Linked DNA regions of Schizosaccharomyces pombe. The gene in region 1 interacts genetically with each later gene. Each region holds a gene or a part of one and is shown on either strand. Other genes may lie near its edges. The genes, in order: oxa102 and cox18.

What was found.
Region 2: mutations in oxa102 (region 1) and cox18 impair growth when combined (synthetic growth defect), as found in Schizosaccharomyces pombe (one study listed by BioGRID).

What each region holds. Positions count from the first base shown.
Region 1 is NC_003423.3:2,870,002-2,874,279, forward strand, and holds oxa102 (translocase Oxa101), read left to right. Parts: upstream 1-1,714; 5' UTR 1,715-1,896; coding exon 1,897-3,126; 3' UTR 3,127-3,492; downstream 3,493-4,278. Other genes in the region: SPOM_SPBP19A11.07C (uncharacterized protein), read right to left, coding at 1-28, 71-192, 243-694, 732-798, 851-870; calcium-dependent serine/threonine protein phosphatase calcineurin catalytic subunit Ppb1, read left to right, coding at 3,996-4,134, 4,179-4,278. UniProt on the Schizosaccharomyces pombe protein: Required for the insertion of integral membrane proteins into the mitochondrial inner membrane. Essential for the activity and assembly of cytochrome c oxidase. It is essential for viability while oxa101 is not.
Region 2 is NC_003421.2:1,792,625-1,796,228, reverse strand, and holds cox18 (protein Cox18), read left to right. Parts: upstream 1-1,732; 5' UTR 1,733-1,854; coding exon 1,855-2,463; 3' UTR 2,464-2,952; downstream 2,953-3,604. Other genes in the region: zta1 (NADPH quinone oxidoreductase/ARE-binding protein), read left to right, coding at 261-1,250; hnt1 (adenosine 5'-monophosphoramidase), read left to right, coding at 2,991-3,392. UniProt on the Schizosaccharomyces pombe protein: Required for the insertion of integral membrane proteins into the mitochondrial inner membrane. Essential for the activity and assembly of cytochrome c oxidase.

The DNA.
Region 1 (4,278 bases):
GAATTGAGCACTGAGAAGTCAAGTTCATCTAAGGATTAGCCCGCCGTATTAATAACAAAAACCTACATACCGATAGAATCGTATAAAGTATTTGAAAGGAGAACTACGAGAAAGCAGGAAAGCAGGGACTGATGCAGTCGATGATCATACGAAGGTGGATGAGCAATTTCAGGGATAGCAATACCAGCTGACCTGAAGAAAGAAGTTAGCAAGAACATACTTCAAATTTCAAATTGACCAACCATATGCTCTCCTCTGAAGAGGCATATTTTGAAACAGTAAATTCGTGTTGAAAGCAAAGCTGAAAAGTTGACGACAATAGAGAAGTCAAGTTAGAGAAAGAGTTCGGTAATTCAATTTCGTAATTTAAGCCCAACTCGCTTAGTAGTGGTTTTAAATCGTCTACGGTTTGAGAGAAGTCTTTTTGAAAATACGTGCGCACCCAATTGCTGGAGTTAGTAGATTCATAGAGATATGGTAACAGCCGTGTAAGAATTAGGAAGCTATTTAGTAAAGCATTCTTTTTTAAAGGATACTGCTCTGAAAACTTGTTTTGAATTGAAACGATGTTAAGGACACAAACTTGCAACAATATGGCTAAATTGTCAAACTTGTTGCTATCCCTGCAAATGCGTATGTCCTGAGCAAGAATAAAACTGAAAACATCATTTTCAGTCAAGTTGCAGGTAAATAACTGCTATGTTAACAATTTCCAAAGTGTACCAACTTACAAACTCGTAAATTTCACGCTCGGGCTTAGTATTTAAAGAAGCAAGGATTGCATGACGAAAAGAAATTCTATAAACAAAAGGCATTAGTAATCGAAATACCGAACAAAACGAGTACTAACTTGGATTCCGCGGATCCCATTGATTACAATATAATGCTAAATATGAAAGTTTAGATTTGAGAAAGGAAATGCTTTAATTCACAACACGCCTTTAGAAATAAGAGCAATCAACTTCTGCAAAATATGCTTTCTGTTCGATGTCGGAAATTGTCTTTAAAAGCTTTAGTAACTGGTATAGTCCAAAATGTTAGGTAATGCTAACAACCTAAATACAATTTTATAAATGGAAGCCTTTACTTAAATTCCAATTTGGCTTTACAAAAGTAGCACAGCTAGGAAGTAGGACATACGGTACTATGATGTCGTACAGTATTGCCAATTTATTGCAGTAAATACACATACTAAATTTGTTGACAGTATAACGATAAATCGTTATCTTTCATTAATATTGACAATTCATAAGTATTGTCACTGCAATTCGTTAGTATTAATATCCACTATTACTCACTATAACTAAACATGTACTATAGTCATATTCTATTCATGTTTAACCAAAGACTCGTTTCTCAATATACCAAGGAAATGTAAAAAAAAAAAATAAGAGAACTCGCTTAAATCTTTATATCCTCTTTAGAATCAATAACCGCTTTTGCCATAACTTCTAAATCAAAAAACACATGTATCACTAACTTCTTTGTAACATAAACCAATGTCATTATTGGTCAAACGATCGCTTTGCTAGTTTATTTTCATTGTTGACTTTGACGCTTGTGTCAGATTTAACTGTGTGAAACAATCTAATTATAAATAGTCAAAAAATAGTATGTATTTACTTATATAACGACAGATACCACACTACACCGTGTGCCAACGCGCACACAACTAAATTTCAATATCTCTACTACCTTTTCAGGTTATTTTACCAGTTAATTTACCCACTTTTAACTTGCAATTAAATTTTTATTAGAGGATTTTGGATCTATTTATATGTTTTTTTGGGTTTAATCGCTTCATTTTATTTTTGGGTATCTTGGATAAACATTAGCTGGTTCTTCGATTTGTAAAAACATATATCCTTGAAGTTCGAGCTTCACTATTAATCAAGCATGTTTTCAGTCATTGGAAGAGGAATAAAGTTTTCTTCGAAATCTCATTACTCGGTATCATGCTTTTTGATTGCTACACAAGGAGCGAAGATTCGCCAGATCCACACACATAATACATTTTTTAAGAATTTCTCTTTTGCTAAGCTTGGCCGAAATCAGCGTACTTCTTCCTTAATAAAAATTCACAACTCTTCGACTTCTTTCCCCAAATCTAGGTCCGAGAAAGTGGTTTACACTCCTAGTCTGCCATTGTCGTCCTCCGTCTTAGCATCTTTTTCTTTCTTACCTCATAATATCCTCCAAAACGGCCTTAATACGCTTCATATTTGGAGCGGCCTTCCTTGGTGGGCTTCAATTGCTGCATGTGCTGTTGCTATGAGAATTGCAGTATTTCCTATTATGTTAAAGATGATGAAAACGTCCGCAAAGCTCGCTATCATTAACCCAAAGGTTGCTGAACACATGAGTGTGTTGAGTAAAGCAAAGGCTGAAGGAAACAGCGAATTAATGATGCAAGCTACCACTCAAATCCAAAACCTTTATAAAGTTAACAATGTTAACCCTTTGAATTTGCTTTCTGCTCCTGTATTTCAGGGAATTCTGTTTATTAGCTTTTTTTACGCGTTGAAGACAATGGCGGGTGTACCTGTAGAGGGTTTCACTGATGGTGGTTTTTGGTGGGTTAATGATTTATCCCAGCCTGATCCTCTACACATATTTCCGGTTGCAAACGGCCTTCTTATGCTGCTCAATATAGAGCTTGGTAGCGAAACTGGAAGTAATAAGGTTGCTATGTCTCCCTCAATGAAAAAATTTTTTAGATTTCTTTGCCTTGCCAGTCCACTATTCACTATGAATTTTCCTATGGCAATTTTTATGTATTGGTTTCCTAGCAATGTCTTCAGTGTATTTCAAGGGGCATTTTTGCGTTCATCCACCATAAGGCATAAACTTGGCTTACCAGAAGTCCCATCTGCTATGCCAGTACCGAACGCTCAAAATGAATCGTTTGTTAAGTCATTTACCGATATTGTCCATGGGGTTCAAGAAAAAGGTAAATACCCACAAGCCTCTGAAATACTAGATGCTACACGTTTCCTTAAAACCGATACAAACAATGAGCAAAAACCTACTAATAATAGTACAATTACCAAAGCTACTACGCTATCTGATAATTCTCAAAATGACAAGTCCTCTTCTGTTACCAAACCCACCGAGAAGAAAGATTAAGCTTTTTTGTGTGCTTTGGAATTCTCTTTCTTAGAAGTGTTCCAATGTCCTATTGAGAGCATAAAAGTTTGTAAGATATGGTTAATTTTTTACATTTGTTGCATTATTCATTTCTTTCCTTTGGCTTTATCCCATAATTTTACATATGTTTTAGTTTTTGCATATATCTTCACACTTGCAACACTCTTTTCTATTTCCTTTACTTCTAATAAAATACCCAAATTTACATTTATTTTGCTTATTCTTTCTAAAAATCGCTTTTGTCTAATTCTTTACTACGGAAAGCGATGAGAAATCAAAGAATATTTACAATAACCTAAAATTTGACGTAGCCGTCTAAACAAAAAATAAAATGATTATTAACTCTTAAAGTGTTTTATGGATATTTATTTTATCAATAAAACTATCGTTATTTCAGTTAGGTAATCATGGAATGTAAGTTTCATCAAATCAACTTAGTTTGCTTCTCTCAAAAATGAGCAAGGCAATATAATTAGGAAGGAATTCAGGTAGTATTTGGGTTCCCTTTCTACAAGTTCATTTCTTATTACTAACACGATTGGTTATTAAGATATGTTTGTCTAAGCGGCGATTGTTTGTAAATTTTTAAATATACAGAAGTAAAGATTATGATGAAATATATCTATATTATAAAAAAAAAAAAAAGTACTTAGAATTGTAAACAGATATGTTTTTTGTTCACATGGTTCATTGAGAAAAGCAATTACGAATTTCTTTGCTTTTCGTTAAACCATTTTCCAAAACCGCCGGGACGATGTAAGTATAACAAACCAGAATCTACCAAAACTTTTTGCAAGAATATCTAGCATTTTACCCAGGCTGTATATAGGCTTGCAAAAGTTACTAATATGACTTCGGGTCCTCATAATTTAGAAGACCCAATAGTTCGAGCAATTCGCCAAAAAAATCAAGCTCCTTCTCATGATTTTACAATATTTGTTCAAGAAGATGGCTCTAGTGTTAGCACACTGGATAGAGTAGTGAAAAGTACGGATATTTTTGAAAGAAATTAGTCTTATTAACAATCAAAGATGTTCAAGCACCAGCAACTTATATTCCGACGGACGTGGAGTTTTTTGATATTAATGAACCTGATAAACCTGACTTGCATTTTCTTCGCAATCATTTCAT
Region 2 (3,604 bases), on another chromosome or scaffold:
TTCCCTTTTTAATGGTCTTTTTACGAAAAAACAAGATCATGTTTGATTAGTAATTTTCTTCTAGGAGATTCCTTGCCAACTATAAGTTGGGTGTCCTGTATCGACATCGATGCCATTTCTTGCTCATTCAATCGTTGCACTGCGATCTCCATGCCTAACCTCATTATTATAAAACGATAACTATTACCACTCGTTCCCATAATCCTTACTTACGCTTTAAAACCAACTTATTTGCTCTTCTTGTTTAGTAATTTTATAATATGTCAAATTTATTAGTGCAGGTTTCCAAGACCGGCCCATCTTCCGTTTTGCAAGTAATAACGAAGGAAATTCCCAAACCAGCACCCAATGGCTTGGTTATTAAGAATGCATATGCAGGATTGAATTATATAGATACTTATTTGCGAACCGGTTTGTATACTGCTCCTCTTCCTTATATACCTGGTAAAGAGGCAGCCGGTGTTGTTGCTGCAGTCGGCGATAAAGTTGAAGCAGATTTCAAAGTGGGTGATCGAGTGGTCTACCTTACACCATTTGGTGCGTATGCCCAATATACCAACGTTCCCACCACATTAGTTAGTAAGGTCTCTGAAAAGATTCCATTGAAGATCGCTTCTGCTGCTCTCCTGCAAGGCCTTACTGCTTATACACTTATTGAAGAAGCTTATCCTGTGAAAACGGGAGACACGGTTGTTGTGCATGCCGCTGCCGGTGGAGTTGGTTTACTTCTTTGTCAGATGCTGAGAGCCAGAAATGTTCATGTGATTGCTACGGCATCCACTGCCGCCAAACGTCGTATTGCCATAAAAAACGGTGCTGAAATTGCTTGCTCTTATGAAGACCTCACCAAAGTAGTAGCAGATTATACAAATGGTAAGGGGGTTGATGCCGCTTACGATTCTGTAGGAATCGATACACTTTCATCGTCATTAGATGCGCTACGCAATGGCGGCACTATGGTTTCTTTTGGAAATGCTAGTGGTGCCATTGATGCTATCCCTTTGAAATTCCTATCTGCCCGTTGTCTTAAATTTGTTCGTCCGTCGCTGTTTGGCTACATAACTGGTCATGCTGTCTTTGAGGGTTATGTATCGCGACTATGGAAAGAGATTTTGGACAACAATCTCAATATTGCAATTCATCATATTTTTAAGCTTTCTGAAGCGAAAGAAGCTCACGATGCTATTGAAAGTCGTGCCACTACTGGTAAACTGTTATTGCTTTGTAACGAAGATTTAGCTGATGCTTAAAAATTAGTTTGATAGAAATGAGCTTTGCGTTTGCAGCTAACATTTGAATACATTGAACATTTTGGGCTAATGACTTAATCTTAGAATGGCTTTTGACAGCAATGCCCATAAATTAGTGATTTAGTATCTTTCAGTTTTTCAAATTTAATGTCAATGTGTATGATTCTTTATAAAACTTATATTAATATTTTAAGCTGTAAGTCCTTTTTTTTTAACCAATTGTTACGAATATCTTTTTTTCCTGCTTACCTTTATTCAATCAGACTCATGTATTTTGTTCAGCTCAATTTATATTTATAAGTAATGTACTTCTGTAGCATCCCACTCATTATAATAAATCGTTCTAATAAACATCGAAAACGCGTTATTAATTACAAAAAATAACCATGCTATAAATTTGAAGCATTCTTAAAATACTAAACATGAAATACAACTATTTTTTCTTGGCTAGAAGTTAGTACCAGCAAACTCGAAATTTGCCCACCTTCCCAAACCTCATCTCGTGTATGATATTACATCTTCTGCTTTCATGTACACCCATATTTTTCTGAACTACAAAATTTTTTTCTTACGCATTTAAATATAATTTATTAAAAAGGTCAATATGCTTCAAACATTAATAGGCGTTCACTCGTACATGCCATGGTGCTATGAAATTCCGGCAATGGCTATATTCCTTCGTTCTACTATTACATTGCCAATTGCTATTGCAAGCCTTAAAACGGCTCGTCGGTTTGTGCAAGTGCAACCACTGATCAAAGAAGCAAAGAAACGTTGCCGAACAAATACCGATTTCCGTACTGTACGAAAAAAGCTGTACAAAAGGTTCAATTGTCATCCTCTCATGATTTACGCATTGCCTATTACTCAACTACCTTTATTCGCGTTTGCATCTTATCAGTTAAGACAGGCAGTCGATGTATGTCCCGAGAGTATGTCAACAGAGGGTATGCTTTGGTTTACCGATCTCACATTACCAGATCCTCACGGTGTACTACCTGCGGTCCTTGCTGTTACTTATTTAACAAACATGTCTATATTGAAGCGACCTTCGGATTCTCGATTGCTGAAAATATTCAATACCGCTGGTATAATGTCTGCTTTCTTTGTATCTTTTATGGCATTTAAGACTTCTACGGCATTGTCTTTATACTGGACTACCTCTGCAATTTACTCTTTGGTACAAAACGTTGCATTGAGAAAGCTGTTATAGAAGAGCAAGAGTAATTCTACATGTTTGGTTCTGAAAGGTCTTAACAAAATCAAACCTGACTAGTCGAGACTCACATATTATTCCTTCTTTCTTTCCGTACATAATTACCTACATTCTTATGGTAAAGCTAGGTTTTTGATTTGTTATGGCCTACCAAAAGGAAAATCTTTTGTCACAAAACATCTGATCATGGCAAAAACTGACTGAATTAGTAATGAAAAATAAGATACTTTATTATTAAAATGCCAAATAATATTTAATAAATATCATTAGTATTACAGGCTTGTTCGTGTGACATGAGTTTGGCATTTCAAGGATGACTACCTGCAAAGCTTTTTGAGAAATGCAACCTCGCCGATTACTCCATTTTTAAGGAAGAATTTAACTATTGATTTCATGTAAGTCGTTTTTAAAATTTACATTTTTTTTAAAAACATTTGACTTATTCACACTGTTTATTACGTTAACTACGGTAAATTTCGATAATTTTCCCACTTGCACATCCTTGACTTAAGCTAACCACCACTATGAGCTGCATATTTTGTAAAATTGTTAAAGGAGATATTCCTTGTGTGAAACTAGCTGAAACAGCCTTGTCTTTGGCTTTCCTTGATATTGCTCCTACATCTAAGGGACATGCACTAGTTATTCCCAAGGAGCACGCCGCTAAGATGCATGAACTGAGCGATGAGTCTTGTGCAGATATTCTTCCCCTTGTCAAAAAGGTGACAAAGGCTATTGGTCCTGAAAATTACAATGTACTTCAAAACAATGGTCGCATTGCTCACCAATTTGTGGATCATGTTCATTTCCATATCATTCCCAAGCCTAACGAAGAATATGGATTAGGAGTAGGCTGGCCCTCTTATCCTATTTCTCCTGAAGAAATAAAGGCATTGGGCGAGGAAATCAGCTCTAAGATTAAATAGTTTTTTTTTGTTCTGTGTGTCTCGTTGAATCGAAACTTTCCTTGACTTGGCGAGAACTATAAGGAAAACATGAGCCCTGTCTTTGTAGAATAGGCTTGTGTTTTTCATGAAAGTCGTTATTGGGTGTTGTTTGACGTTTATGTTTTTTAGAAATGAAAAGTTTGTTTTATACACTTTTACCTACTTGTTTTACCTTTCCAATGTAAGTAGTT